Arabidopsis thaliana: one gene and its partners. The protein of the gene in region 1 interacts with the protein of each later gene in a biochemical or structural test. Each region holds a gene or a part of one and is shown on either strand. Other genes may lie near its edges. The genes, in order: CIPK15, ABI2 and ERF7.

What was found.
Region 2: the proteins of CIPK15 (region 1) and ABI2 form a complex in vitro, tested with the Arabidopsis thaliana proteins (one study listed by BioGRID).
Region 3: the proteins of CIPK15 (region 1) and ERF7 form a complex in vitro, tested with the Arabidopsis thaliana proteins (one study listed by BioGRID).

The regions. Positions count from the first base shown.
Region 1 is NC_003076.8:304,087-314,623, forward strand, and holds CIPK15 (CBL-interacting protein kinase 15), read left to right. Parts: upstream 1-5,287; 5' UTR 5,288-5,718; intron 5,719-5,999; 5' UTR 6,000-6,373; coding exon 6,374-7,639; 3' UTR 7,640-8,011; downstream 8,012-10,537. Other genes in the region: AT5G01780 (2-oxoglutarate-dependent dioxygenase family protein), read right to left, coding at 1-43; AT5G01790 (uncharacterized protein), read right to left, coding at 971-1,597; AT5G01800 (saposin B domain-containing protein), read left to right, coding at 3,336-3,423, 3,646-3,794, 3,890-4,090, 4,230-4,289, 4,405-4,560; SR1 (serine/threonine protein kinase 1), read right to left, coding at 9,337-10,537. UniProt on the Arabidopsis thaliana protein: CIPK serine-threonine protein kinases interact with CBL proteins. Binding of a CBL protein to the regulatory NAF domain of CIPK protein lead to the activation of the kinase in a calcium-dependent manner.
Region 2 is NC_003076.8:23,078,285-23,088,821, reverse strand, and holds the start of ABI2 (Protein phosphatase 2C family protein), read right to left. Parts: upstream 1,701-10,537; 5' UTR 1,103-1,700; coding exon 590-1,102; intron 508-589; coding exon 211-507; intron 65-210; coding exon 1-64. Other genes in the region: AT5G57040 (Lactoylglutathione lyase / glyoxalase I family protein), read left to right, coding at 3,706-3,756, 4,021-4,186, 4,320-4,607, 4,699-4,787; AT5G57035 (U-box domain-containing protein kinase family protein), read right to left, coding at 5,003-5,218, 5,299-6,048, 6,133-6,561, 6,662-6,763, 6,845-7,149, 7,256-7,371, 7,457-7,572, 7,662-7,783 and 1 more; LUT2 (Lycopene beta/epsilon cyclase protein), read right to left, coding at 9,004-9,169, 9,248-9,380, 9,471-9,581, 9,673-9,769, 9,845-9,952, 10,035-10,178, 10,266-10,368, 10,437-10,537. UniProt on the Arabidopsis thaliana protein: Repressor of the abscisic acid (ABA) signaling pathway that regulates numerous ABA responses, such as stomatal closure, osmotic water permeability of the plasma membrane (Pos), high light stress, response to glucose, seed germination and inhibition of vegetative growth.
Region 3 is NC_003074.8:7,081,676-7,092,212, forward strand, and holds ERF7 (ethylene response factor 7), read right to left. Parts: upstream 5,220-10,537; 5' UTR 5,017-5,219; coding exon 4,282-5,016; 3' UTR 3,052-4,281; downstream 1-3,051. Other genes in the region: AT3G20300 (extracellular ligand-gated ion channel protein (DUF3537)), read right to left, coding at 1-134; ABCI15 (trigalactosyldiacylglycerol2), read right to left, coding at 5,982-6,074, 6,173-6,263, 6,790-6,905, 7,043-7,372, 7,450-7,965; PYRB (PYRIMIDINE B), read right to left, coding at 8,679-8,786, 8,863-9,099, 9,218-9,391, 9,491-9,630, 9,716-10,229.

The DNA of each region.
Region 1 (10,537 bases):
GGCGGGAAGTAAGATGAAACGAGCGATGGATAGAGTTCAACATAGTCGAAGAAGCCTCGATTTATCGGCGACGACAAGAGACGCATCGTCTTCTACGCCGTCGGCGCAGAGCCTTCTTTCTAATTATATATTGATCTTCCCGAGAACACATCAGTAATTTCAAATTACACTATTTTAATTACATGGGCCCATGGGCCTCGTAACATAGATAGCAAGGGTCTTCCACATTAATTTGTGGGAGCGAAATGAGTTTTCTACGCGCACGACAGGCGGGTGATGAACACGCTCGAATGGTAGCCGCCGACACCTTCCTTAACTTATTAACTCAACATACTTTAGTGTCAAATCTTAGTTTATGTCAGTATTCAAACGTATTGTTACATCTAACAGGAAAAAGGTAAATTAAAATCTTGACTCTAAAACCTACCAGGTAATATAGAAGAAAGAAAGATGTGTAGATTTTATCTTTTAAAAATGGACCAAATGATTCTGCTATTTCGAGTGTGAGGAGGTTGTAGAAAACCAATCATATTCGACAAAAAATCAATTAAGAAGAAACCAACCACCAAACCCCATTCATTAATTTCCTTTGCTTGGAAGACAGCTAAATTAACACCAAAGAAGGCTTGTTCAAACTCACAGTTACATTTTTACACGGAACCATCCATATACAAAAAGACACACTTGCCAAAAGCTATACTTAAATTATCAAAGTTTTAGTCATGCACTTTAAACCAAAGTGAATGCGACAGTTACTATAATAATCTTCTGATCAATTTACGTAACTCTTGTAACTGTTCATTGCTCTTATTTAACAAAAAGGTAAACGTATTATATGATTCGGAGTTGCATTACCGACACAAACTGATTAAATATTATAATAATAAGACGATGGAACACAAAATAAACTAATATATGAAAAACATTTTATAAAATTTCAACGTTTTATTTTCCAAATTTTGCAGCGGAATTAGCAGAGGAAACATCTGCGGATTCCGAAGCAGGAAGTGGATTGTGATCTCTGAATTGGGTAGTCAGCAGAAGAGTCGAAGGATGAAAATCTTCGCATGACATTCCTTTCTGTTTGAAACTTGAACAGATCGTACTCATTTTCGTCGATCAACACTCTCTCCGACAGAGATGGTGGTGATGAAGCCGACAGTTTCTTAGCCTTACCATTGTGATCGCCCGATAGCCAGAAGAGCCTTGTCGGGATTAGTGCGAGGATTTTCTTGGTGGACTTTTTGGAACGGCGGCGGATTTGGTCGCCGGAGAAAGAGAAATGAGACGGCGGAGGAGTGAGAGGTGGCAGAGTAGGTAGCTCAGAGGAGGGGTGTTTGGGTGTGCCTGGATGAGATTCCCATTCGAAAGGGACGGCACCGGCGGCTCCGTCGTAGTAGTAGATTCTAAAGGAAGGACAAGCAGCTGATACCGACGAAAAACGTTGTTTGGTCGACGGTAGCTTACCGGAGAAGGTGGCGGTGTCTTGCTTTTTCAGTGAGAGTGAAGCTGCCCGCTCAGATCCCGCGTTTGGCATTATTGTCTTGGGAGAGTGAGAGAGAGAGAGGGAAGGAAAGAGAGGGAGAGATGTGTGCATGAGACATATGGAGTCAATCTATCATGTATATATGGGTGCCTGGTGTCTTTGGTACGGTTTTTACTTTTGGGCTTATTTGTTTGGCTTTGGTGTCTATAGAAACTATATATTAAAAGCAAAATGTAATAATTAATGATAGTGAAATAATAGTTTCAATAGTGCGGTTAATTAGCTCTCATAGTTAGAACTTATAAAGATACATCTCGAAGTGTGTTGGTCCAATCCTACAAAGGCAATAACCACTCGATGGATATATAAAGTCATCACAACTTATTAGACCCTTGAACACTAAGTAATGCTACCGGGTACAAAAGAAAACACTCACATATGAATAATGAGGAGATCTAAATACGTCATACTCAAGGCAAGATATTTGTATCACATGTATATAGCAATTAACGATTCATCCATGAGAATATTTACATTACAAGCCAACATATACATAACTTCAACACAAACATGTCATTGATGAGTAGATTTTATTAAGAAAGGTGTGGTTATTGTAGAAGCATTTATTTGGAGAGTAGATAGGACCATTGATGAAAACAATATGAATTGAATAATTGGTTTTTATCTGATTAAATTGGAAAACAGTGTATGACTAAACGAGCCACGACCCATGCATTCCTACATGTGCTCCACATACCTCCGAGCATTGCTTTCCTTAGTATATACACACTGATAGACCCCATGGTCGGTCCATTCTTTTGCATTAATATCTTTCATGTGATATTCATATACTCGCTCCCCTCATCAGAATTTACATCTCTTCGTTAAAGGTTAAACAAGAAGACATAATTACATTTTCTTCCGTCCATTAAAGAAAAATGAGAGATTTTTTTTTTAAAAAATTGAAGGTCTTTAAAGTATTGAGAACCGTGACCTATTTATAAGGTTTAAAACCAACAACCAAATTTCTCATTTGTTGGGTTGTGAAAGATAATTTGGCGAATATCATACAAATGCGATTAATTACGGTTTAAACATCTCCATTAAGGTATTGACAGTATCAAAATAAGGAGAAGAAAATGGAACAAACAATTTTGTCCAGAGGTGTATAAACTTGGAGTATCATATTCTTATAGCAGATGAAATAAAATACTAGTTAGTTTATTTGTTTGGAAAACAAAATAGGTAATGTGAATATAGATTTTAAAAGTAATTTTGATACTACAGCCCTTTAATTAGATTGAAAATAATAATAATAATAAAGAAAGGACCAATCATATGTTTGACAAAAAAAAGGGCCAATCATATAATTCTGTTACCATGGATCTAAATGAGAGGAGACTCTTGCTTTTTCACAAAAAAAAAGAAAAAGAGAGAGAGAGCAGCAACCCCAGCAGCATCGAAGATCGTCGATCGTCGATCGGTTGCTCTCTTTCATTAATCAGATCTAATTGATACCCAAGCTTCTTCATCGGAGGCCGTGTAAGCTAGCTTCTTCTTCTTCATCTTTTCGTACACTTATTTGATTGTTGTTTATGTATCGATTCTATGGAATAAGAGCTTTTAGCACATATTAATTTGTCCCCAGTCTCGTCGTATATGCAGACCTATTTAGCGCTTATGGTTTGATTTAGATCTGTTTAATTTAGCGTTTCAACCTAAAATTGTTGACAACTCAAAATCGGAATCCCCCAAAAAGTGTCTGTTGACTTATGAATATGGCCATCTCCAAATCGGTTTTTGATCCATCATCATTAAATTTGGTAATATATAGATCTCACGAGGAAACATGGGCGGTAGATTTGGAGTCCTCCTAGTCCTCTTCCTCTTGAGCTGGTCTTGTCATGCTACAAACCCGATTCTTCTCGAACCATTCGGTAAGAACATTTTTGAAGGCATCTAGAGTCTCTCTTGCACCTGTTTCTAATTCAAATTTGTTAAAATCTGTTCACTGGATTATTTGAATACGTTACGTTTTCAGAAAGCATTCAATCTGATATAGACATCCTGATGTATGTTTTTTTTTTTAATTGGGTTTAAGAAGTTTGCTCCATATAATATTTGTGTTGATCTCCTATGTATGATTGTTTCGTTTGCAGAATCAGCTCATGATGACAACCAAGTCTGTGAACTATGTGACAAGTATGTCACGCTAGTCATTGATTACCTTCAAGACTACGACAACCAGAATGAACTCGTTGAGGCCCTTCATATCAGCTGCTCTCAGATTCCTCCTCTCAAAAAACAGGTCTTCATTGAGTCCTTGGTTGTTTTTGCTTTCTCTATTCCTTTTCTCAGACGTGGTTATATGTTAACTATGCCCAACTCATGTGTTTGTTGCAGTGTCTTTCAATGGTAGATCATTACACCCAACTTTTCTTCACACAAGTCTCTACTATCAAATCAGACCAAATCTGCAAACGGCTTAACCTCTGTCAAGCTGTGACACCGGCCTTTGCCTCTCAAGTCCATCAAGGAAACTGCGAGGCTTGCCGCGAGACTGTCTCTGAGGTTGTCACCAAACTCAAGGATCCTGAGACTAAGGTTTGCTCAACCTTCATTCCTTCTATTATCACATACCTATTCTGTGTCGCAAACCTTAGGCTTAGCACTAAGAATTATATCAGTTAGAGATATTTATTATTGCTGCTGAAGATTGACTTTTGCCTTGTGAATGTTGCAGCTGAAGATAATTCGGTTACTTCTCAAGGAATGCAAGTCGCTTAACAATTACCAGGACAAGGTAGCTAACTAATAAAGAATGCCCGCAAAGCTCTCTCTATTTAAGCTGAGTTTTGTGATACTTTTATGGATCATCATCAGATAATAACAATGTGTTTGTTTATGATGGTGAATAGTGCAAGAAGATGGTATTCGAGTACGGGCCTCTGATGCTTACGGATTTGCAGAAGTTTCTGGAGAAGAAAGACGTGTGCACTATCCTCCACGTCTGTCCAGGTCCAGCCACCCACCGTGACTACGTTCCTGCGGTGGAGTCATTGGCAGATTCGTAAATTCGGCCACCTTGGTTTTGTCGTCATTCACACTAATACCATGCCATGATCGTGATGCTAATTTAATTTGGTAACCCGGTGGTCATGTAAATACTGATTGATATATTAAAAACATAACTACACGATTGATGATTCTTGTGTGATTTGAAAAGAACGCTGTCTAAAGGCCCATTGTCCATCGATGGGCCTTTTTGCTAATTTCTACATTGCCCATGTTGTGTAGTCTGATTTTCGCTAAAACGTTACGTTGATGCGTGTACTCAATCACTCGCCCACCATTTTCTTCTGTGAAACAGTTGGCAAAAGTTAGGGGCCGCCAAGCTGGTTTAAACTGACCCACAAGCGAATAAATGTCAGACACGTGTAAAGGACAAAGAGAGCAAGTGTCACCGTATCTATAAAAGCTAACATTAGAGGATATTCTTGCTTACGTGTGACATCGTCACTGGTACATATCATCTAAAGGAATCTTTGATCAACACTACTCTGGAAAACAAATTGTATACTATTTATAAATCTGTTGACTGTATGTATATTCAGAATTATGTGATTGATTGACTAAAAGCGACTGATTTTTAACCTTTTATAATACAAACAGAACAGTGTACATATCCAATGTAGTGAAACAAATCCTTTTATTGGGAAATAAAATTAATTTTGTAAATGAAAATTTCGTTAAAACAAACCTTAATGCTTATCGTATATTTATTTAGCTTGAAAACTAAAGAAAAGATGTAAAAAAAAAAGAACTAAGTTTGGTTAGTGTGTGTAATGACGATGAAAGATGATGAGAAGTGATAACTTATTTTAAGGGCTAAGAACAACAACAAAGTTGATTATTAGAAGAAAGAAATAATTAAAAAGCAAATTGCAAACAGCGAAAAGAGAGATGATGACAAAAAATGGTTAGTAACGGCCAAAAGGTAAACAGGTTGGCTGCTCTTTGTTTCCATTAAAATTAGTAAAAATTCCGAGAATGGCATTTTCGCAATTCATAGATATCATCAACTTGTGTGTTTGTTGGCCGATTATAATATAAAGGAAGGGAAACTCTTCTTCTCTTTCTTCTCATTTTCTCTCAATTCCTCGCAGCTGAAGCTATTTGGCATATACTTGTCTTCGCTTTTCGTAGCTCTTTCGCGCATAATAATAACTGAGGTAATTGTTCGATTCTGGTTCGCAGCGGATTTTGTCGATGCTATTGAGGAATCTAGATTTCTGTGATGGATAGATATAAGACATATCTTATGTCTCTGTTCCGATTCGATCTGTTTGTTTCGTTCCTAGTTCGATCTACTTAGATTTCGTCCCATGTTTATAGCTCTCAATCGCTTTGAATCTTGTCTTTAGTGTTCGATTTTCTGGTGTTTAATTAGGAGCAAACTAGATAGGCCTTCTTTGTTGATCCTGTCATTAATGGTTTGCTCTCTATGTTTCAGGTTGTTGTTTAATCAAGAAGAGTGTGCAAAAATTGGAAGGCCAGGGAATGCAGAAACATGTATTTGAAAGCTGAACTCAATTGCTCTACACCACCCTCTCAGATCCTTTGTCCCTTTGGGCCCTTGTTCTCCCTCATCCCTTATGTGGACACCCATTTTCTAAACCCCTGCTTCCACACCTTCCAGCCTTCCTCTCACAATGCTAGAAAAAACGCCACTTGGAAGCATGATCTTTGCGAAGACGGTTGATCCGACACTAACAGCCTCCTCCTGAGTTCCTCCTCTACCCTTTATGTTGTCTGCGTTTTAGTATATTCTAGGGTGGTCTTTTTATTTAGTGGTATTAGTAGTGCTCTAAGCTAACCAGTTAGTCAATGGAGAAGAAAGGATCTGTGTTGATGCTCCGTTATGAGGTTGGGAAGTTTCTCGGTCAAGGTACCTTTGCTAAGGTATACCATGCTAGGCATTTGAAAACTGGTGATAGTGTAGCGATTAAGGTCATCGACAAAGAAAGAATCCTCAAAGTTGGCATGACCGAGCAGATTAAGCGAGAGATCTCTGCCATGAGACTCTTGAGGCATCCCAACATCGTTGAGCTCCATGAAGTCATGGCCACCAAATCTAAAATCTACTTCGTCATGGAACATGTTAAGGGTGGTGAGCTCTTCAACAAAGTGTCAACTGGGAAGCTGAGAGAAGACGTTGCGAGAAAGTACTTTCAGCAGCTTGTACGCGCTGTTGACTTCTGTCACAGCCGTGGAGTATGCCACAGGGACCTGAAGCCGGAGAATCTCTTGTTGGATGAGCATGGGAATCTTAAGATCTCTGATTTTGGTCTCAGCGCTCTTTCTGACTCTAGAAGGCAAGACGGGTTGCTGCATACTACATGCGGGACCCCTGCATATGTTGCACCGGAGGTGATAAGCAGGAACGGGTATGATGGGTTTAAAGCGGATGTGTGGTCCTGTGGAGTGATATTGTTCGTCTTGCTCGCTGGATATCTTCCTTTCCGTGATTCCAATCTGATGGAGCTGTATAAGAAGATAGGCAAAGCTGAAGTCAAGTTCCCCAACTGGCTTGCTCCGGGGGCAAAGAGATTGCTCAAGAGGATCTTGGATCCTAACCCCAACACAAGGGTATCAACTGAGAAAATAATGAAGAGCTCTTGGTTCCGTAAAGGCCTACAAGAGGAGGTGAAAGAATCAGTTGAGGAAGAGACAGAAGTGGACGCAGAGGCAGAGGGAAACGCAAGTGCAGAGAAGGAAAAGAAGCGGTGTATCAACCTGAACGCGTTTGAGATCATATCTCTGTCCACGGGGTTTGATCTCTCGGGACTGTTCGAGAAGGGAGAGGAGAAGGAGGAGATGAGGTTTACATCAAACAGAGAGGCATCTGAGATAACAGAGAAGCTGGTGGAGATTGGGAAGGACCTTAAGATGAAAGTGAGGAAGAAGGAACACGAATGGAGGGTGAAAATGTCGGCTGAGGCTACAGTGGTGGAAGCGGAAGTGTTTGAGATTGCGCCGAGCTATCACATGGTGGTGCTAAAGAAGAGCGGTGGAGATACTGCTGAGTATAAGAGAGTCATGAAGGAGAGTATAAGACCGGCTTTGATCGACTTTGTATTAGCTTGGCACTGAAACATATTCTATCCTTTTTATGTGTCTTCTTCTTTTAGAATGTTTTTCTTGTTTTGTTTTGCCAATGTGTTTAGTTTATGTATTTTCTCTTGAGTCTCATCTTAAGACGTGTTTCGTATTTTTCTAGGTGTCAGTGTAACAATAATAATATGTGAGGACCAATTATATAGTTTGAGACAAAATAAGTAGATTTCTTTATCAGATAAAATAAAATAAATTGAGCCTTAATGAAATAAGCCAATAGACCGACAACGGTTTTAGGAAGCATTATACTACTATTTTGTAGTTATTTCGTATTATTGTAGTCTTTTGGATGATCTTTTTGTGTATTAACAAAGTCAAAACAAATTTATAATTTAACTTACGTTACAGAATTTGTTAATGGTGTGTTTTCTTCTTCTATTTTTTTGGTAAGAAATGGTGTTAAAAAAATGAGAAAAAGAATCCAATGGTAAGATTAGTGTTCATACATGTATTGGAAAATGACAAAGTGTCTTTATTGGTTGGATGATTGTGATTGGGCCAATTCGAGAAGACGACTAAAATGGACAAGCTCATTGAATTCACGGCCTCCAGTGGACCACGTTGGCCCATAATCGGATATACACCATACATTTATCAGTTGGTCAAATCAAAACCTTTTATCATAGAGTGCAGAGTATATTTTTCTAAGGGTTTTGCTTAATCCGCTATCTTTTAGTGGGCCAACAACTACAAATTGGATTGAAGGAGAACCAAGGAAACCACCCAATTTAAGACTCTTGTCTTTTCGTAATCTAACCAACATAACGTGCTCGTCAGATTTTTGCATTTGTGTGTTTCCTACTTTTCCTTTTATGCTCAACAGGATAATTAGTTACATATAACCACAATTAAGGAATTAATTAAAGCATATTAAGTGCTTTAAAAGTGTACGATGTGATTGTGTATATAGTAAATTGGATAATATATAGATCGTGGAGCCTACAATTATTGCATTGAAAAGGTGATATATATGTTGATTACAGTAATTATAACTGCTGAAGCTGAAATTAATGGATTATGGATGATTGGATTCAATGTGGATACCAAGAAAAGAAAATGATTGATGAGAATTATTGGTGTATGATCTTATATCACAGCCACATGCGATAGGATTATATAAAGTCCACTAGCTATATATCTATTTTAATAGTATATTTTTACAATGATGTGATAAGGACAACCTCTTACTTATCAAAAAGGTGAAAGTAGATCAGTTGTGTTAGTTCATGGCTCAAATCTTGACACTTCTTTTTACATAATGACAAAATTAATAGCAGAAGAAGACTGTGTTTTATGAGTTGTTAAAAATTACATCTATATGTATGTTAAATATCATGTTGAATAGTTAACTAATCCTTAAGTAATGGTTAAGTTAGAGTGTCTTGTACACATAGCATTACTTCACATCCACGATACGTTACTAATGTATTATAGTGGCCATTTAAAACAAGTAATACATTTTTTTATATTTTATTTTTCATTTATATAAAATATAATTATGATTACATAACAAGAAGATACATACTTGCCAACTAAAAATTAAGATTTGTCGAGAAATTTCCTGAATAATTATGTCAGAGATATTCTCCGGGTAAAAAAAAAAGCAATTACATATAACCCGGGATATTTTTTTTTAATTATTATTTGGATAATTTATTTGACAGATACCTAAACTACGACGTCGTATGTACTTGAGTTGGTTCTGGGTCCGTTTGGTCTGATTCGTGCACAAGCTCGACGAAGAAAGGCCTGAGTGTATCTGTCCATAAATCTCGTCCAGATGCAGCGGCTCTTTGTCTCTTCCTCACCTCTATCATAACCAGCTCGTCCGTTAGCTGGTTTATCTCAACCACCATTGCGAAGTTACCTTTTTGCCCCTCGATCTTCATCCCCCATGTTTCCTTCTTCGCCACCGTCAGATTCTCCGCCGACACGATCTCCTCCAGCCTCTCCACCACCCTCTCCGCCGTCCACGCCGACACGAACCGTTCCACTCGGTCGTACTTTCTGGCGTCTCCGAAAAGACCGGAGAGATTGAACCCTGGAGATCCTGAGATGATGTCGAATGCGTTCATCCTCCTTGCTCCCATCTCGCTGTCGGTCTCGTCCGCCGGGAGTTTCATATCGGAGTCCTCTAGATGGAATTTAGACATCCGATCGTCGTAGCCCTGTTTGAACCATGGATCGTGGATGATCTCTTCGATAGTGATCCTCGTCTGCGGATTCGTGTCTAAAAGCCGAGTCAGCAGTCGCCGGAGATCCGGTGAGGTCCACTTGGGAATGCGAAATTCTCCCTTGTAGATTTTCCGGTACATAACCATGAGATTATGGTCGTTGAAAGGGAGATAACCGGCGTTGAGGACGAACAGTATGATTCCACATGACCATATGTCGATTTTAGCACCGTCGTACCCTTTCTTCGCCAAAACCTCAGGCGCCACGTACGCCGGCGTACCACAGAGTGTGTGGAGGAGGCCGTCGGGTCGGATCTGATCGGTAAGAGCGCTGAGTCCGAAATCAGAGATCTTCAAATCGAGCTTCTCGTCGAGGAGGAGATTCTCCGGTTTGAGATCACGGTGAAAGATGCCGCGGGAGTGGCAATATCCGACGGCGGAGATGAGCTGCTGGAAATAACGACGGCTAAGATCCTCGCAGAACCTGCCCTTGGAGACTTTGGCGAATAGCTCACCGCCCTTGGCGAATTCCATGACGAAGAAGATCTTGGATTTGGTGGCGAGGACCTCGAACAGGCGCACGATAGAAGGGTGGCGCAGACGGTGCATGATAGCGATCTCTCTCTGAATGTTGCCATTGAGTCCTCCTTTCTGCAGCCGTTGCTTGCTCACCACTTTGATCGCAACGCTCTGACCCGTC
Region 2 (10,537 bases), about 23 Mb from region 1:
CGTTCCACCGGATTACTTTCCCACCGGCAGCTTCTATCCTCGCCGCTTCATCATCCCTATCCGGCTACACATAAATGTAGACCCAAACGCTATAAGTACATTAACTAATCTATAGAAACATGCTATGATTGGTAACACCATAACAAAAAACCGCAAGTCCTAATGAATATATGATTGTACTAATTCATTCATAGAAACATCTATACTTACTTTGTGATCAACCGACAACGCGAGTGGCGTTTTGCCGCGACACAAAACCGCCCTAGAGTCGCCGCAATTCGCGACAAAGATGTGAGTCGGAAAGACAACCGCAACCACCGAGGTAGACCCAACAGTTTCCGGAGCATGAGCCACAGTTTCAATCTCCGAGTCAACTCTCATAAAAGAGTTGAACAAAGCCTTCTTCCACTTCTCTTGCCACGTGTCACCGTCACAAAACTCCGGTTTCTCCTTCACTATCTCCTCCGTCAAAGCCAGATGCATCCTCTCACGACAATAATTCGCTACCTAAACACACAAAAACAAATGTCAAAAACCAAGTTTTTGCAGTTTCCGATCATATCATATCGAAACCAAATCGATTCATTACCTGAGAACCGCCATGGCCATCGTAAACACCAAAGAAATGAGCACTCAAGTGAGGATTAAATCCATTAGTGACTCGACCATCAAGCAACGAACTAGAAGAAACTTGAAGGAATCTAGGAATCGTTGAGACAGAATCTTCCATCTCTGGTCGTCTACCACAAATCGAAGTCACTCCATATAAAGGAACACACTTGAACTCAAACAGACTTCTACTCTCTGTTCTACTAAGTACTTTCTTCTCACTCTGATTCATCGATCTCGGATCAAACTCATCTGAACCGTTGATTTCATCTCCGGCGGAGATATCCACACCTGCCATAGCAGATGATGATGATGTCAATGAATCTTGTCTTGTATTGATCTCAAAGGAAGAATCTTTCATAGCTCCGTCGCCAGAACAAGAACTTTCCGGTAAAGTAACCCTAGATTCACCGTTGCAATAGCCTCTAAGTCCGGCGTGAGGGTCAGTGAATGGTCTGAATGGAACAGCGACTGCAGGAGAAACTTCGTCCATTAAAGGAGGAAAAAAAAAGAAAAAAGAACTTTCTTGAACTTTAACAAAAACCCAAATCAGGAATCAAAGTTGGGAAGAGAAAGGAGAGAAATTGAAGTTGGATATCTAAGTATTCAAAGAGACAGATGTTAGATTGTTAAAACGCTTGGGTGTAAGAGAAAAGAACGAAAAGTCAGACAGATTTGAACATAATAAAAATTGATGAGAGTGTTGTTAACTTTATTAGATGAAGATGAAGACAAGAAACTCATGACTCATTAGAGGAAAGTGAAGACAACCTTAGCTAGCACATGAAACAGATAGAGAGAGATTTGTCAATTAAAGAACCAAACACACACAAAAAAGAAAAAGCAAACGTTTTCCCGAGGAAAAAAGGACTAAAATCAGAGTTTCCTGGATTCTGGGCAATTCGTTTCAGCCATTTAGAGATTCTGAACTCTCTCTCTCCCTCAATTAATTTCCAACCAAAAAAACTTTTTTTTCTCTTTCTTTCTCACAAACAAATAGTTTAGGGGATAATCAGTTTTAAAGAGAGAGGTCTTTATTTATTAAAAAAAATAGCACAATGTGAGATGTTTTAGTGAACAACAAAGTAATTAGAAAGACTTAAGGAATTGTGGAAACAAAAACAAAGGGTATTTATTTTATTTTGACTTGATTAAATTTTATTTCTTATTCTATTTACTATCGTGTCACCCCTCCATTATTATTGGGTATCTTTATAGAAGTTTTGAATACAGATGTTTTATACGTTTCCTATTTTACCAAAATATCTTGCATTAAACGTTATGAAATTAGATTTAAGATAAATCCAAACTTTTTACATAATGAGTAATTTACTTATTTCACATAAAAATAATATCTCTTAGGAATTGCTCTTTTCTTTTGAGCTTTAATCAAAATTGGTCGACAAAAAACGTAATTTACTTATTTTATACAAAAACAAATTTCTTTTATTTTATTTTTTGTTTAGTGTAACATGCCATATGTCACAAAAATATATTTTATAGTAAAAGATGAAAACACCAAAAAATATACAAATTATGATACAATTTTTATTAGTTTAGTAGAAAATATATTCATCTACACTGACCACACTAGTACATTAATGCTACTAATAAAAATGAGGTACTATAATAATTACAAAATTTACTGACTAGAGAGCTTGCTCTGATATTTTTGGTTCTAGAGTTCAAAATAAAATAATGACAATCGGGTGGATACCAAAAACAGAAAGGAGGAGAATCAAACTCGAGAAGGCAAGAAGTGTTGTGTTGTCAACAGATGATTCTTTTTACTTCCAAAACAATATTGAAGAAAAAAACAATATTGAAGAAAAATAAAATCATTTTCGAAATAACAATCAAATGGGTCCCATTATTGTCGGAAAACAGACCGGATGATCGCCACGTAGACAGAGAGAAAGTCATTAGATTTGGTGAAGAGGATGGCGTGTACGGTGAGAGATCTGTTAGTTGGGATGGCGGGAAAAGATGAGCCGAAGAGGTTCATTGCACTGACATAGACAACACCTCTCTTTTAACTTCCGTAAATATCTTTGTGTTTCCTTTTTTATTTGGTGTCTGTTTTATTTATTTACTTGTTTTTAAACAAAAATAATAATACGTGTTCCATAATCATTGGACCATGTAATGATATGTGAAGTGAAAGTAGCTTTGGTTGGGCAACAAATACACTGAACCAATCGTATAGTTATATAACTAAAAACGTATATATGAATTTCTGTTTTTATTTATTTATTTACGATTTCATGAATATTTTTTATTCACTGGATATGAGTCATGTGACCTTGATTTTATTTTTATTTTTGAGATATACGTAGATAGATAGACGCATGCAATTTCTTTAAAGTTAATTCATTTTTTTTAGGATCTCTCGCAGCTGTCAGATAAAGTAAAATATCTTTCGATATAAAATAAAAAACAAAACCAGCTCATATTGTATAGTATACTATGTGTCACATATTTTGAGATGATCAGTTGCTACACGGATCTGTTAAAACTTAAAAGGTAGTATTGAATAAAGTGGCGGTCACATAGAAGTACAACTAATATCTATTTGTTAAATTTTGTCAATATGATATCAAATACAAAATGATAATAAGAAAATTATATAAAATTAGACCATATTCTTAAATTTTTATACATAAAGCTAAAACATCTAAACTTCATTACAAGGTAAGAGAAATTTGACGAATCTGGAAGTTATTACTGAGTTATTTTCGCTCGAAATAGTAAGTTACCAACTTACCATTTTTGTGAAGCTGCAAAAATAGTGAGACGTGAATCACCTATTGGACTGGGCTAGGCCCATCGATTCTCTGATAAACTTTCATTAAATAAACGTTTGACTTTTGCCACCACACCGCATGTTTGATTTTTTGTTGTCGTTGAAACAATTATATTTTTCGAGACAATACGAAATTGATTTTCCCAGTGATTATGTGGCTGAGTGGCTCAGGTTTTGTTTTTCTCCTTAATTTTCTTGGCCAATAAAGAAAATAAAAAACATGAAATCATTACTTTAAAGACAAAAAAAAACTCTTGCTCCTGTGTTGAGAGCCTAATCCAAGATTCTCTTCCATGGCTTCTATTTTCAGACCTTCTTCAGCTTCACTTGATTTACGACCAAAGGTATCAAACAAATAAGCTTCTTTATTCACTCCTAGCGTTAGGTTACTCGATTTCCAGAAATTGTTGTTTAGGGTTCTTACCTTTTGGATGATCTTGAGATAGTCCTAGACGCTAATCTTGTAAATTTGGCAATTAAGGGCTTCTTTTCTTTAGTTTTCAAGTAATTGAGTTAAAAGGAGAAATTAGGATTGTGAGTATCATTCAAAATCGATTACTTTACCTTGGATTGATCATTGATGATGAATCTTTTTTGGTATTTGGAAGGTTATTTGCACGAATCTCTCTACGAAAGAGCGGTTTGAGTTTCAGAAGAAGAGTGTGAGGAAAGAAAGGATCAATGTTAGGTTTTATAGCTTGAAGGCTAAGGCACAAGGATCGTCAATTGAAGGGATTAGTGTTGTACAAGAGAAAGAGCTTAACAACAAAACCGGTAATTAACTGATAATAAGTAATTGTGTTGATTGTCTGCTGGTTAGTGGTTACAACATTTTAAGCAAATGTCACCATTTATCTATAGACACTAAGCTCGGATTACCAGTTTTGATTGTTGATTGTTATTGTAGATTATGGAGTTGTTGGGGTTCATCATGTCGGTCTGCTCTGCGAGAACCTAGAACGGTCACTCGAGTTTTACCAGAACATTTTAGGCCTTGAGATCAACGAAGCAAGGCCTCACGACAAGCTTCCATATAGAGGAGCATGGTTATGGGTAGGTTCAGAAATGATTCATCTTATGGAGCTTCCAAATCCAGATCCATTAACAGGTAGACCCGAGCACGGAGGCCGGGATCGACACGCTTGTATTGCAATCCGTGATGTTTCAAATCTGAAAGAGATCTTAGACAAAGCTGGTAGTTTATATTTTTTTATTCTTTCTTCTTAGTTTCTTTTGGCTTAAAGGATGTTTCCTTTCGTTCTGAAGAAGATTTTTTGATTTTGTAGGAATTGCATATACAATGAGTAAGTCAGGGAGGCCAGCGATATTTACTCGTGATCCAGACGCAAACGCTCTTGAGTTCACCCAAGTTTGATTTGAGTCTATTTGTAGATGAATCCTCTAAACTTTCACTTGATTATCAGTTGTAAATGCTCTTCATATAGAACTGCAAAAAGCAAACCAAATCCTTGTTGACTTATTATATAATACCACAATACATATTCACAGAGATGATACACCCGATTCAAACAAGTTCAGGGTATTTAGTCAATATACGAATTAGACTAGACTGTATATATATTAGTGTGATCAGTAGGAGCCAAGAGTAGTGGAGAGGTCTAAGCGTGAACGAGATCGCCACTCTCGTATAGCCGATCTGAGAGTGTGGTTCGGTGTAAGATCAGAATGTTTGAGCCGATGCTTAGTAACAGGAGACACATCTTGATGTTTTTGAATCCATTCTTTTATCGCTTTTCGTTCGTATGTGAATCCATCTGCTGCTATTTGTGGATCTTCCATTATTTCCTACAATCAACCAGAATCAAACATTTTAAAACCTGAGCCATCGAGAATTGTGGTTGGTGTGCATCGGTTATTCGATTTACCTTAAGAATTGGACAGTAATAGTGAGTTGGTGCTCGTGCGTTAGCTTGTTCTGTCTTGAGTCTACTATTTGCAGATTCAAGAATACGTTTGAGAGCAGGCAAGACTTGTGTGCTAAGATCTGGTCTGTCTCTGCATTTGAGCTGCGAACACCTGATTGCAATGCGAGCTAGTTCTTTCGCTTCGGCTATGGGCCAGTCTTTGACTGATCCATCTAACATATCTTCAAAACAGCCTCTCTTTACTGCATCTTCAACGCAGAAAAGAAGACCGTTGGGATGTCGAGCGGTTAAAAGCTGGAGAATTATGATTCCAAATGCGTAAAGATCTGATTTCGGTCTGATTGTGCCGGTTCGTTGGTATTCCGGGTCCATGTAGTAGAGTGTACCGGCGATAATCGAGTTTCTGTAAACCGTCACACTGTCTGGTGCTTCGTCTGACATGAGTTTTGCGAGTCCAACGTCACCGATTTTGCTGACAAAGTTTCTGTCTAAGAGAATGTTGCCTGGTTTGAGGTCACGGTGGACGATGGGCTCAGGCTTAGAGTTGTGGAGGAAAGCTAAACCACAAGCTGTTTCATAGATGATTCGGAATCTGATAAACCATGAGAGAGATGGTTTCCCTTTTTTGGGAGAGATGTGACAATCTAAGCTACCATTTTCCATGTACTCATAGACAAGGCATCCATTTTCAGGACAAGCACCAAGGAGAAGAACCACATGGGGATGACGAAGCTGGCTTAAGACTGAGATCTGCAAAGTAAAATAGTTGATTTCAGATCTCAGAGTGTTAAAGGCTGCTGTTGTTATTAGGCCATGAGACTACTAGTAATTTACCTCTTTCAAGAATTCCTCTTTCTTTTCAACAGAATCAGGTTTGAGAACTTTAAGAGCTACTGGGGTATGATCAAGACTGCATTTGTATACTTTTCCATATCCTCCTTCGCCGATTATTTTACGGGAAGAGAAATTATCTGTAGCTGCAGCTATTTCTTCTTTTGTGTACTTTCTGTATCGCCCGTCTCTCAAGAAGAGTTGCTCAATGACTTTCTGTTTCTCTATGGACTGTTTGAGAGCATCTAGCTCGGCTAATTGCCTCTCGCAGAACTCTTTGGCTAGCATTGATTTTGCTTCCTCGACTTCTTTTACAGCTTTTAGATGCTTTTCTTTCTCTTCTGCTGCTGCTTTCCTTCGCATTTCTTCTTTTTCCAGAGCAGTGATGACCCTTTCTGTTTCTTTGATACACTCAGAGGAAAGAGACTGGACCTGAGGTCACAACATGGGATTGAGTTTATGAATCCATAAGATGTAAAAACATTAGGAAAGGATTTCGAGAACAAAAAAAGTTTTCTTCTAGAACTCCAACCTGTGTTTGTTTATGAACTAGCTCTTCACAAGCTTGTTTGTACATGGAAAGAGTGGTTTGCACTTCTTTCCTTAGCTGCTCTACCTCAGCTCTTACACCTGACTGCAAAAACAGATCTTGGATCAAAATCATATGCATTTTGTGTCACAGAGAATCAAAATGGTCATATATTAAATGCTTCACCTTTGGTGTTTTTAAGTGAGGTCTAGGATCCATCTGTATTTTACTAGTGGAAACAGTACTATGCCTAAGGATAGAACGACAGTGTTCGTCATCGACCAAAACAATATCAGTTGAAGAAGACTGTGCATCAGAATACACTCGAGAGGTCGGATGACTATGCGGTAAAGAGCCAGGCCTTCCAATTCTCATCCTGCCTGAAGATGTTATAGATGAAGCAGACAACCCTGTCTTATCAGAGCGTGTGCGACTGAAAGATTCTGTATAAGCTTCAGCTCCTTCTGGTATACGGAAACTAGATGATGAATCTGTTGAAAATTTCACACAGAAACAAAAACCACAGGGGAAATCAATAAAACTTGTATTTTTTTCCTTCTTGACTTCAGATTTTAGATCAATGCAATTGAAACATACCTGCGGTAAACTGATTCGTCGATTTGGTTAAGATTCTATCTTTACAAACAACATATATCTCACATGTCTCTGGAGCTTCTCCTAGCACCGTTAATGGCATTTCTTGTCCTTTTTTCCTGTCAAAACCAATCCAAACGTCTAAGCAAGATCATACCATATACAAACACATACTAGATATCAAATCCCATTATGTAACATTACCTTGTGAGGAAATTAGAAGAGCAAGAGCCAATCACTAAACACTCAACATCAGTATCTGACATATACTTCAAAAGAGCCTTTGCAGGATCATGATGTTCCAACAACAAAGTCTCAACCTAAACATTTAACCAGTAAAATTATTCCATAAGCCTTCTCCAAAACTTCCAAAATCAGTATCATAAATTTAGCTTTCACAGAAACTCACTTTGTTGGATTTGCAGATCCTCTTAAACGGAACAAAAACTTGTTCAAATTCTTTTCTCAAATCTCGTTTATACATAGACACAACACTCTCATCCAATTCCTCTATTGGAATCTTCGATCCAGCTTTTAAATCAAACAAAAACTAGTGTTAAATTTTCATGAATCTCGAAATTGATTTAACAAAAAAATTCGAATCGAGACTTACAAGGAGATGGAATAGTAGTAACTGTAGGCATGACATGAACAAGAACTAATCTATCGATTTTAGGAAGGAAATTTTCGATTGTCCAACGAAGAGCACGACGACTAGCAGTTCCTCCTACGGCGTCACCGACGGATCCTTTAACAGCGACGGATACTGAAGAATACGACGGAGCTCCGCCGATTAATTCGAAGAATTTGTTCGTCATCACCACCATGAAAATGAAACTTGTTGCTCTTTTTCTCAGATGGATTTTGTGAGGAAATGGGTTTTGGAGAAGAAGACCCGCGTTTTTAGTTGACTTGGATAGAAAAAGTGGGTGATGTATTTATTGACTGTTGTGAAAATTGAAAGCGCCTACTTTATTAGAAAAGTCTTTTTCGAAAAAATTGTTATGTTGGGACTTATATTTTTGTGAAATTTAAGATATGGTCGTTTTATTGATAATTTTGAAGGTTTTAATTGATATAATTGTGAGAAAAATATTAGAAAGAATGTTCTATATTATTTCAAGGGGTTGACATTAATAAAGATATATAATTCATTTTGAATAAAATGTGCAAATAGCGAATTTAGAAGTGATTTTATTGACTAGTAATTGTTTTTTTAAAGGGTTAAGAAGAAGTTTCATTGGATTGATTAATTTAATTGATAATTATGTGGTGCTTGTTCTTAGATTCTGTATGTGATGCAACGAACATATACTTGTTCTCTGTTCTTGTTAATATTAGATTAATGATTAAAGACGGCACACTAACCACTTGTAGTTTCACTAATCCAAAATTAGCAGTTTCTTGTTTATAAATAATGTGTATAGATTATTGAGTAATTTGCACTTAGGAACACGAAAGTGATCATATTTAAAATAAATGGCAATCGTAAACAATATAAGCGAAATAAATTGATAAAAATTAAAAGCATGTGTTGAACATTTTTACTCTTGTTGATTTAAACATTTCTCGGTCACTAACCACAAAACAAAGACTGATTTTTTTCTTTTCGTTTCCATCTCCATTTCGATCACTCCTTAGATTCTATACATGTTTGTTTCCAACTTCCTAGTAACCCACATACCATTCTTTGATCGATTATTCAGATAAATCAACATATATATACACAAACCTAAGAGTTGATAAGTAAATCATACTTTGAGATAGGTTTTTATCATGGTTGCTCCGGTTGGATCAGAGATGAGATGATTGATGAGACCTTTTCTCAAATTGTTTGGTGAAATGACGAACATGTATAAAGCAAAGAGAACGAGATCTCCTGATGTTAATGTTGATCCTAGAAACCCTTGCCACATCCTGAGTAAGTGAAAAGAAGAATCAATTTTCTTGTTTACAGTAACATTGTTATGAATCACGAATCAGTGTCTTGCTTACCATTTTGGAAGGCGGAAGAAAGTACGGAAGAAGCTTCTAATGCCTTCGGTATCGAATTGAACTATGAGTGCAAGACCAAAGAGAAAGAATGCTCTCTGTCTTTTCCTTTCTGGTGGCCATAAAGTATCCCAAGCTGCCAAAAAATAGAAAATCACAAGTTTTAAAAGTTTCTCATTGTGTGAAAGAACAGCATAGTTAACTTTGTGGTTTATATAGAGCTCACCTTGTCTTGAAATATTACTGTTGATCTGTTTGGTAGTCTCTTCTCTTAGTATCTCTGCGATGACTGATGCATATTTTGGAGCTTCAGACAAAGATCTCACAACTGAATAGCCTGTTTAATTGGGGGAAAGCTAAGTCAGAGATGGTACAGATTCAAGATGTGAATAAAAGTACATCGGGTCAAGGCTTCTTGCTCTTACTACCTGTTGCGGGATGTACCATGCTAGCGGCAGCACCAAAGGCGAGATTCTTTTGTTCGGTGTTTGGCAAGGAACCACCAACTGGGATATAGGACCACTCCTACAGTTTTATATTAAACGAATTAAAAAAGCAAATAAGAAGTTTCTATGTTGATATAGGACCACCAATTCTTACCTCTTCGTAAGTCTTTAGAATTCGAATTCCGAGTGTATCTAATCTTAACATGAGCTTCGTTTTTAGCAAATCAAAGGGCATGACATCTTTTGAGGCCAAACATGTCTCCTGAAAGGATTTCCAGCTGATGAGCAACAGACTTATCACAATAACGATTTAACTAGAAGGAGAGAGAAACACCAAAGAGAACCTCGAAGAAGAGTCTTGACTTTGTCATAGGCATGGCGTACAGAAACGTTGGATACTCAGCTTCTAAGCTCCGAACTTTCTCGTTAGTATAATCTCTGTAATCCATGAAAACCATTTGATCTGGATCATATGGACTATTTTCCACCTGAAGATTTCAAATAGAAAAACAGTCTCAATGAACAATGATTCCTCCATATAGTTATTGCTGTGGAATATCATATTCAAATTATACCTCAACCTCCACGCCGTATGCAGTTTGCACACAGACTCTAGGTCCACCAACTTCGTATTGCAAGAGCTTTCCCGAAGCTGCTCCAGAAGCAACAGTGGCAAGCCTGCATTTGCTAGAAGTCAGAACCTTTTCGTAGTGGTAAAACCAGAATAGTACTAGCTGACTTGTTACCTGCAGGGAATGACGTTATTGTCGTCACAAGCAACAAGTCTAAGGCCATCAGAAGCTTCTGTTATGCTGTCAACTTTCGAGCTAAGGTACGAGACACCTGA
Region 3 (10,537 bases), on another chromosome or scaffold:
CTGTGGAGCTCGTCTTGTGCGTGAGATACGCTACGTGTGAACTTGTTTTCTCGGTTTATTAGACGTTCTCGTGTGCCTCCTCTTCCTTCGTTTCCTCCTGTTGTTGCTGCGGTTCCGATGTCGATGTCCGCCATGGACGATCGCTCGGGAAAATGAGAAATTACCGGAGAGGCTCTGGCTTTTTTTTTTTTTGTTGTCTAAATATAAATTGATGACGCGGTTGGAAGAAGGAGAAGACAGAATCAGGAATGGCTAAAATTGTCTTATGGTTATTTATAAAGGATCGATGTTTAGGTGGATTTGACAACCGTATTTAAATTGTAATTTAGTATCGTAAAACAAATTACTACAATATTTCGTATTAAGATGTACATGTTTTGTATCTTATTGGCTCTGTTTTATTCGAATATTTACATTTTCAATAATACTAGTGACTTGGGGTTTTTCTGCTCTATGATTCATGAGGGGATATTTGAACAAACAGTTTAGAATTTGGGGATTAAGTAGAGACGAAATTGTGCACTTCCATTGTAAGAAAGATTTTTTCTGATTCACGATAAAAACGAAAAAGGAAAGTAGATTTTGTGTTCATGCGACAACCATGATTTCACAATCACGGGGTCTATCTACTTGCTAATAAAGTATTATCATCATTAGATCATAGATTTTTATTTCTGTTTATATACCTTAGTACTGTAACATGTAAATTAGTGTATCTCGGATGAATTTTTTTTTTTAGTTTGAAATTCATGGAATTTATCTATTAAAAAGGTTTTACTAAGTATATTACAGATTAAATACACTAAATACTAATTATTCTTTTCTTTAAAAAAACAAAATTTGCATATTGATATATTTCCATATTTCGGCGGAAATAGGTTTACGTGGCAGTGACAAAATATTATACTGTAAACACTGAAAGAGGCAAAAATAAAAACAAATGAAAAGATGCTGGTGAAGTGAACACAGGCTGTAGAATGGGTCCCACGTTGACATGTGATGTGTAAAATTTAGGCCGTAGATTACGCATATCTCCGTACTTACGGCGCCACGTATGTTGCTAATATAATTATAAGTACCATTATTTTGATTTTGATGTCTTCTTATAAAAAAACAAAAACATAAGATATTATTTAGATCAGCTAAACTAGTAAAGGATTACTTAGAATTTTAAATACCCGGCGGCATGTCTTGAGTTTATTGGAAGGATGAGTATATAAAGTTTAAAGGTTTTGAAGATTAATCGAATTATCAAAATGAGGAATATCATATACTTTATAGTATAAAGTATATTAATTGTCAATTATTCGAATGAATCATGGGTTTGGTTTTATTACTTGTGATCTTATGAGTGGCTGTCTATGCATTCGTTTTTATATGCCCTCATGACTTTGAGAATATTTCATTATTCCAATTACTATACGATAAATGTTGTTACATCTCTTAATCAAATGTTGAGTCGTTTGATTATTTTTTTATTTTATTTTATTTTTTGTTTGTTTGTTTGTTGAAGAATCGAAACCGCAGACCAAAAATATTTTCTGTTGTTTGCTGTATTTAAATTTACACGCAACTATACTTTTGATTTAAACCTTCTTTCTTGTGATTTAATACTCCTTCTTTTAGTTTTTTGAAGATTTTCAATCTCTATGTTATACAAATACGTGAAAAATATGCATTTTACCCTTAGAAAGTTAGAAGTAGAAACGAACATCTCACAATGCTTGATTTTCTTTGCTAAAGAGTATAGACCACATAAGATAAAGAAAAAAAAATATCATTTAAAGAGCAACATTATGTTTAATCGTGTTAAAAGTTTCATAGTAAAATGGTATTCAGGATTCATCATAGTTGATAGTAGTAATTGGTTTGCAACATTTGATTGATTTTGCTTATTTCTAATGTATGTAGCCTTTGAATTTAGTAGTAGTACATAAAAAGTGATTCACGTCTTTACACGTTTAAGTATCAGCAACGTGTATTCACCCAGTTTGAAATTCAAGATTTTGATCATTCTTTATTAGCCCCCACATATATAAAGAGTTTCAAGAACTATAGAACCACAGCTTTCCTGATTTGGTCAAACCTGGAAATATATTCTTTCGTTATCTTTCTTTTTCTTAACTTTTTATTTAAATCCCATATGTAAAATGTAAATTAGATTGCTATAATTAACTTGATGGATCAGAAATTTTGAAAAGCTGTGATAAAATAATAGAGAATGTATAATGAGATAACAAATCAAAAACTTTAACGATTACATTTCAAATAATCTCTAAAAATAAACAATATAGTAAATTTTAGAATAAATTCACTCGGCGTACGTGTCTCCAAATCTCAAAACGTTTATAGACACACAAGATTCATAACTTATACTCTATAAAGAAAAACAAAATGCAAAGTGAGGGGTTTGGTTGAAGTGGTTGTCTTGTGAATATTGAATTGTTGTATTAAATTCGTAGAAAATTAGTAACCAGTACAAGCTTTTGTGGGCTGATAAAGATAAACACGTTGAGTTAGTAATACGCAAACCGGTAATCTACTTCTAATCAATTAATTTAAATGAGTTTTCCAGGCGTCTATTATAACTTCAAAGTCTCGTTTTCCGACAATTAATATATTGTGTGATTAAGATGAAAATAAGACAACTACGACGACAAGCTAGCCAAACTCTTTTGGAAGCGAATAAAACAAGACTAGCTATTTGTGAACTTATTATTTTCTTCTTAGACTGATGATTTTACAATTGTAACAATGCACTCCTATTTAGACCAGTGATTGGCTGATGGCCAGGTTATTTTGTATAATACTCTCTAACCTTTCTCCATTTGTCTAGTTAACCTTTAGCCATTTGCCTTGTTAATTGCTCATACACTTCTTTTTCTCCTTAGTTCAAGTGTAATGTCCAAGCCATTCATTATCCATTGTCTTGTTAATGAATCCATTTGTCTCAACAGTTTTTTATATTAATTTTCTCCTTAATTCTAGAATTATCTTCAATAACTAAAGATTAGACCAAGTTGTTCTCATTTAATAGCAATGTAGAATCATTTGGAGAGAAACTATCATTTCAAAGCCGAACAACCGAATTCTCGAAAGGTTGTAAAAGTAAAAAGTAACATTGTGGATTAATCTCAACTCCAGAATAATAGAAGATTATTAAGAGTACGAACCGAAACAGGAAAAGCGACTTGAGATCAGTTGTCTTAAATCGTTACAGTGAAAATAACAAGACATTGCTTTTGACTTCCACTTTAAGTTAAGAAGAAGCCTACCCCAAAACGGTAAAAAAATACTCGGTTTTTGCTTCAGACACAAAGATTCACTGTCTGAATCCGTGGCATAGAAGCAAAGTAGATACCAAAATTGGGAAAACTCTCTACCAGCAAATTCAAATCAAAAAGGTCAAACACACAACGAATTCTGCCACCTCAACCCACAGCTCTTAAAGATCAAAACAATCATCTCAGCCACCAAACTTTAACCTAAAGATTTGGCCTGTGCTCATTGAGCTTTATCGATCACAACAAAACCACTCACCGCCCATTGACCATGCCCTTAATCTCTATGTTCTTCACCATCCAAAATATTCATTGGGTACACAAAAGGGAAAGCCTTTCTTGTCTCCTCGCTGATGAATGAAAACTTGAGGCTTAACAATGACAATGAGTATTCTAACTTCCTCTTCGAATCACCCAATTAGATAGCAAAGGAGCTTCACCGTCTTTCTTCCTTTCATCTTTTTATTGCTTCCATCTCAGAGAACCACTAAGCTTTACTTGTTGAATAGAAGAAACCCTGAATTGATCAAGATCAAGCCAAGAGACAAAACACAAACAAATACTTGTGCCCTGTGTGGTTCTGTTACATACTATGTAAATGCAGCTTCCTACTTACATCAGGGGACACTCTATGAATAAGTAGAAATCTAAAGATAATGGATTTGAATCATTCAGAAATCATCACCAGCTTCAGAATGTTATATATATGTAACAAAGGGTTGTTGGATCTTTTATAAGAAGAAACAGATAAAAATGAAACCCAGATCTGGTTCTTACAGTAACAGATCTTAACACAATCTCTCTCTCTTTTTAATCGTCATCATCTTCGTTGATGATAAAATCATCACGCTCAATCTTTTTTTTTTGTTCTTCCTTTTTTTCTCTTTCAATATGATATCAAAGGAAAATGGAAAAACAAAAGAGCATAAAGTTATCATTTTGTAAAATTTGAGAATTTTTTTTGTGTGTAATCAACGGATTTTTTTTGTAAAGCAGCAAATCAGAGACGTAGATCGGTACAGTGGAGATCATCTATCCCGCCAGCGAATAAGTCAACGCCATCCAACGGCGGGAAATTAAGATCAAACTGAAACGGCGTTTTCCGGCGGGAAGACGAAGATGCGATATCATCTCCGTCGTCAATAACAGACGACGAAGAATCGCAGTCGCTATGACAATCCTCCGGAGCTACCGGTGGAGTTCTCGGATATCTCTTAATCGCATGTAACGGTTTCGCCACCGACGAAGACGCCGCCGCGGCTTCCATCGGTCTCGGTCCGCTACAAGATTTAACGGTGCTGCTCATGCTGCTACTCGCCGGCCGACTAATAATCTGCTGCTGCTGCTGCTCCTGGAAATTACCTCCGCCGTATAACCGATGGTCCATAAACGGATCGATCTGGTTCTGAATCACCGGAGGAGAACAGAGGTTTTGATTGTGGAGGTAGGTGAGAGGTTGGAGAGGAGAAGAAGGAGAACAATCGATCGGGAAATTGGTCTTGGCCTTTGGACCACGGAGGTTACGTGCGGCGGTATCGTAAGCGCGTGCAGCATCTACGGCGGAATCGAAAGTACCGAGCCAGACACGAGATTTTTTTAATGGATCACGGATCTCAGCTGCGAATCGACCCCAAGGTCTCTTCCTAACGCCTCTATACCTCGGCTCCTTCACAGATCCACCGGCGGTTACTGGAAGGGCGGGTCCAACGACGGAAGAGCCTCTCCCTTTCCTCATGGAGAAGAAAAAAGATGTAAAGCCAGAAGTAATGTGATGAAGAAGAGATCTGTGTGTGTTTGTGTGAAGAAGAGAAGAAAATGTTGAAGAGAGAAGAAAGATGAGGAAGAAGATGAAGGAACAAAGGGTAGAGATTGGAAATTATTATTATAATTCTCTTTTTTTTTTTCTAAATAATTTACTCAAAGAATTTTCATTTAATAAATTAATTAAAATAATAATTTATGGTTGGAATAGCTTTTTCTTTTCTTTTTTTTTTTGGTTGTTAATTTCGATTTTTTCTCTACCTTCACGCCCGACCCACAAGACCGACCAATTCGTTTCTTTAAAAATTTAATTATGGAGTAACATTTTTCCTAACTTGGATTCTTTTTTTCTTTTGCTTTAAACTTTTTATTCGATATATTGTGTGGAGAAAAAAAAACAAAAAATTAAAAAAGAGTTCACAAGAGATGTCTCGAAATGCGAAGAAAGTAAAAGAGGGTAAGCACTTGCACTCTCTGTCCTGACCCTGACCACAATCTATATAATAAAATCTTATGTCTTACTGTTTGTTTGTTATCAAATTGATGCACCTAGAGACCAAATAGTCCACTTGTAATGACCAAAAACACCCTCCAGATTTTATTTTATTTTATTTAATAATACACCCCTCTTCGAAATTATTATTAGTTTCTTCTCCTTCCTTTGGGACCCTACAAGAGACGAGACGCGCTTATCGGCATCGTCGTCGTCTCCCGTGTTAAAAGTAAATGCCGTGTTGAGGATACGCATTAATGTGGAGAAACAAACATTTTTGTTCTTATAAAAACTGAATTATGTCTCTCCATTAAACCCCAATCTCAGAACACAAAACGAAAACAAAAATAACTCTAAAGAAGAAACAACACATTTTTCGAATTTTTAAAACTTGCTTACCATAAAATTCTGGATTTTATTTATCCAGTCTAAAATCTACAGGCTGATCATAGTAGCCTGCTTAGGGATTTGATGAGTAGTTTAAGGTTTTTTCTTGTGGCTTCATCTCCTGTGAATCCCAGAATATCTGAGCTTATACTCTACAATCAAGAAAATCAAAAACCAAGTCTTTGTTAACATTGTTTCTTCCAACTTGTCAAAGCTGGTATTGATAGAATAAGAAGAAAAAAAAGTTTACCTCGACGTTCTTCAAAGTATAAACCAGAGTGTAGATTGACTTCTGTATGAGTTCTGTATTCTCAGGAGTCATAATTGACGAATTAACCTTTCTGCAATGTAACCAAAATGAAAATTATATTTTTGCTGTCTACTGCAAGAATATAGGTTCTCATAATCACAGTTATCACTCAGTTGATCATACGTATGTAAGTAAACGAGCTTTTGCATATATGTGGTCCAGGAACATACATTAAGTGACAGAAACAGTAGGCTAGCAGAAGATAAGTAGAGGCAACACAAGATAAATTATTGAAATTTTAAGACAATAGAGGAAAGATTGAAAAGCACTGATGAGCAAAGCAGTTAATTTAACATGGAACCCATAAGATAAGACACATTTATGCATAGATATGTATGTGTTTTAACTTTTTAACCATCATCTCTTGTTCAGAAACTTAATCCACAAATAGAGTGTTGAAGCCACATACGAGAAATTGAAGCTAGTGTGCTTATATCTATCGTAAGGTCTGCTTTCATCATGATGCAGAAAGAGTTTTGCATTTGCACTATGGAATTCAAAATATTCATAATGATATACAGTCGATATGCCAAGATTGTTCCACTAAGAGCTATTACCTCAAATCGTCAGAAGCTTGGGTAAGGCTTCGAGTAAGACACTCAACTTCCTTGAGCAAGCCGCTATCACGAAACTCAGAGAGCAAAGGTTGAGCATCTTCAGCCATGGCTTGAATCTGTGACATCACTACATCAAAACCCAACGCATAAGCAGGAGAATACATTTTTTTCCAATCTTGAAATTCACCTATCGATTCTTTTTGAATACTGTAAACAAGATCTAAACAAAGACCACCAAAATTACTCATATCACCTTTTTGAGCAATGGCCTTGCTTCCTCAATAACCGAAGCAGCTCTCTCAGCAAGCGAATACGTATTGGCAACACCAATGGCCTCAACTTCGCGTCCAATACGAGTGAAAATTCCAACTAATTCATCTAAACTAACTCCTTGCACTCCTTTTATTGTCTGCCTATCACAAACGATCAGACCTTCCTTACCACATTCAGGATGCAGAGGTCCTACTGAAGGTTCTGGTATCGGATTCCTAGGCATAATGTCGATCATAGTTTCCATTAGAAGACCAGACTGATTCACCTCAACCAATGAATTCCTCGGGATAATAATCTTATCATCTTCTATCTGCAAAACATAACACACGACCCTCATTTCAAAAACAAATGTACTATCAAAACCAGATTCAAAGTACCAGATCATACCTCAGCAACAGCTTCAATATTCTTCAAGGAAGGATTAACACGGATAATCGTACCAACAGTAACCCCACGGATCCTAACCGGTGTTCCCGTGCAAATACCAGAAGCATGACTAAGCTCAAACACAGTCTGATATTTCCTAAACTTCGACCGCATTTGAAAACCTCGCAACCAAGCCCAGCTAAGAGCAAGAAGAGTAGCTCCAGAGACAATAAACAAACCAACACCACCTTCCCAAATACTTCTCTTACCAAACCCAAAATCACTCAAAGGTTTTAAAGTCTGTCTCCATATATTCCTGGGCACATCCAAAACAACGGTGAGAGGATTCTTCCCCCCATCAGACGATGGTTGACCATGAGCAGCATCGGAATTGGATGCAGCTCTGACCACTAAATGCCTAGTTCTAGGTTTTGGTGGAAGATAAGGAACCCCATTGGGTGAAACTCGAGGACAAGCAATCATGGAGGATGATGGCATTAGTGATGATGGAACTTGAATTACTGGATTCCCAATCATCCTTCCAAATTCAATAAAAAAACTAAACTTTATGCAGCAAGTTCCAATTTTGTTTTCCGAGCTGTAGTTAGAAAGAAGATAGAGAACATGTGAATTGCGTGAAGCTTCTACTTTATCGATCGAATTATAAGTCGAGATTAGGGTTTTTGAGCGAAAGAGAGAATACCTGGGCTCGAAGCTTGTGACGAACTGGTGTCGTGAATCTGAGAATAGCTTCTCCAAAGGCTTTGTTGTTGGGATTTAGACGGTAAAGAGAAAAGACGGAAAATCCCATGTGATTATCATTAATCATAATTAATTAAGTAATTTATTAATCACCTAATTTCGAAAATGTAAAGGCTTAATCAGTTAATCTTAAGCCAATTTGGAAGGAAGCAAGGGCATTTCCGTGATAATCAGAAAAATATACAGCGAAAGTGAACTTTTCTCTGTTCACTGTAATGTTTCGTCCTTTGGAGAAGTGGTAGGCCAAACTGTGAAAAATAGCTCAAATCAATTTATTCATTAAGTTCAACAACTCTTCCTCATATCAGTCTTTTAACCAACAAACCAACAGATCCTTCTTTTAATTAACATCAAGATCACAGCTTTTGTGCTTAACACTCAAAAATCACTAAAGCTTCGGATTTTATTATTGCAGATTCCTTGAGCTCATGGTAGGCTTGAGAATCAGTCCATTAAAGGATTTAACTTAACGACCATGAACTATCCAATCACCAACCGACAAGCAGTAGCTTTAGAAGAGCCATTCTAATGAACAAACCGTTCTTTGCTTGTCTGAAGTAGGCAGCTCTTGGATCAGCATCAACATCTGCGGTGATCTACACAATAAGAAATACAAAGAGTGAGGATTGTGTCACGGTACATATATGAAAAATAGAGGTTTTCTTAACTTACTTCATCCAATCTCGGTAAAGGATGCATGATAATAGCTTTTTTCTGCATCACTCCTAACAGATCCTTGTCTACGATATACTTCCCACGAGCTGCTTCGTAAAGGTCCAGCCTTTCTCCAAACCTCTCTCTTTGGATTCGTGTTTGATAAACTACATCACACTTGGATGCTACTTCCATTAAATCTGAACTTTCTTCCCATTCAACCCCGCTTGATGTCAAATAGTCTTTTATATCATCCTACCATTAAAAGAACACACTGAAAATGGTAAGGAACATACACAATGATGTTCTCGAGTAAACCAAACCATCTTCTTCAGGTTCTCTCATGGAGGGTGGCAAGTTTAGTGCTACTAACCTTCATTTTCACAATTTCAGGGGAAACAAAGTAGATCTTCACGTCTTTGAACTTGGCAAGCAAGTATGCAAGAGACCGCACAGTCCTTCCGTTGGCAAGGTCTCCAACTAAGGCTACACTGATGCCATCTAATTTTCCAATTTCACTTTGGATGGTATAGACGTCCAATAGAGCCTTCACAACAGTAACAGAACCAGAAATAAGAAACAAGGATGTAAAGTAATGTTTGTTTAAGACAATTGAAAAAAACTAAAGGTTAAGAACACAACATACCTGAGTAGGATGCTCTCCAGGACCATCACCTGCATTAATGACAGGTATATTGGCAGTAGCTGCAGCTTTTCTTGCAGCACCGCTTTCAAAATGTCGCATCACAATTATATCTGAATAACCCTCCACTGTTCTTATTGTGTCTGAAAAATGCCCCAAAAATTTCCGTAAATAATCTAACACTCAACATGTTTCACAGCAATAATGAGATACTAGCTAAGATGGTACCTTCAAGTGTTTCCCCTTTCGCGGCAGACGAAAACTCTCTAGCGTTCTCAGTAGTTAAGACTTCACCTCCAAGGCGTTTCATAGCAGATTCAAATGAAAGCCTGGTACGGGTAGAAGGCTCATAAAAGAGGGTAGCCATTAAATAACCCTTGAGGATTTCACTTTGTGAAGAGCTCTTTTCTATCTTTTCCATTTCGCGTGCAACATCGAATATAGCGCTTAGCATCTCTCTATCAAACTGTTTCCCTTCAATCACATCACTAAGTTCAAATTTCTTCAACTCCCTCGTCCCAGCTTGCATAGCATGACACCTGACTGGACCAACATTTCGAGTCAGATTCAAAGTAGCATTTTTCTTGAGATCCCTAGAGGCAGGAAACGAAGTCAAACAAATCTTTGAACTTTCAAAAGGGCTGGGAAGATTGATAGGGAACTCAGAGCTGCAGGCTAATGCTTTAGGAAAAACTGAGGCGCCGCAAAGTGTGGCTGAAGTAAGTGATGATGCAATAGACATTCTTGCGCAGGATGCTAATTCGTTGAAGGGGAGATACTGAGTCACAACTTCCAGAATCTGCTAAAATAACAGACAACAATATATGATGCCGTTAGTTTAAGAATAATCGAAAGCAACTAAGTTTTCGAGACTATGAGAAAAAAACTGCAAATTTTATAAACTCTAAAGATGATTACAAGTATCCACACTCCATCAAGCTAGTGCCAACGATACTTGTTGCGGATTATATTGGTAACCTCTCTTACATATCCACTTGCTTTCATATAAGAATCTAAACATTACTTGAATCCTGAATTCAATTGTCTTAG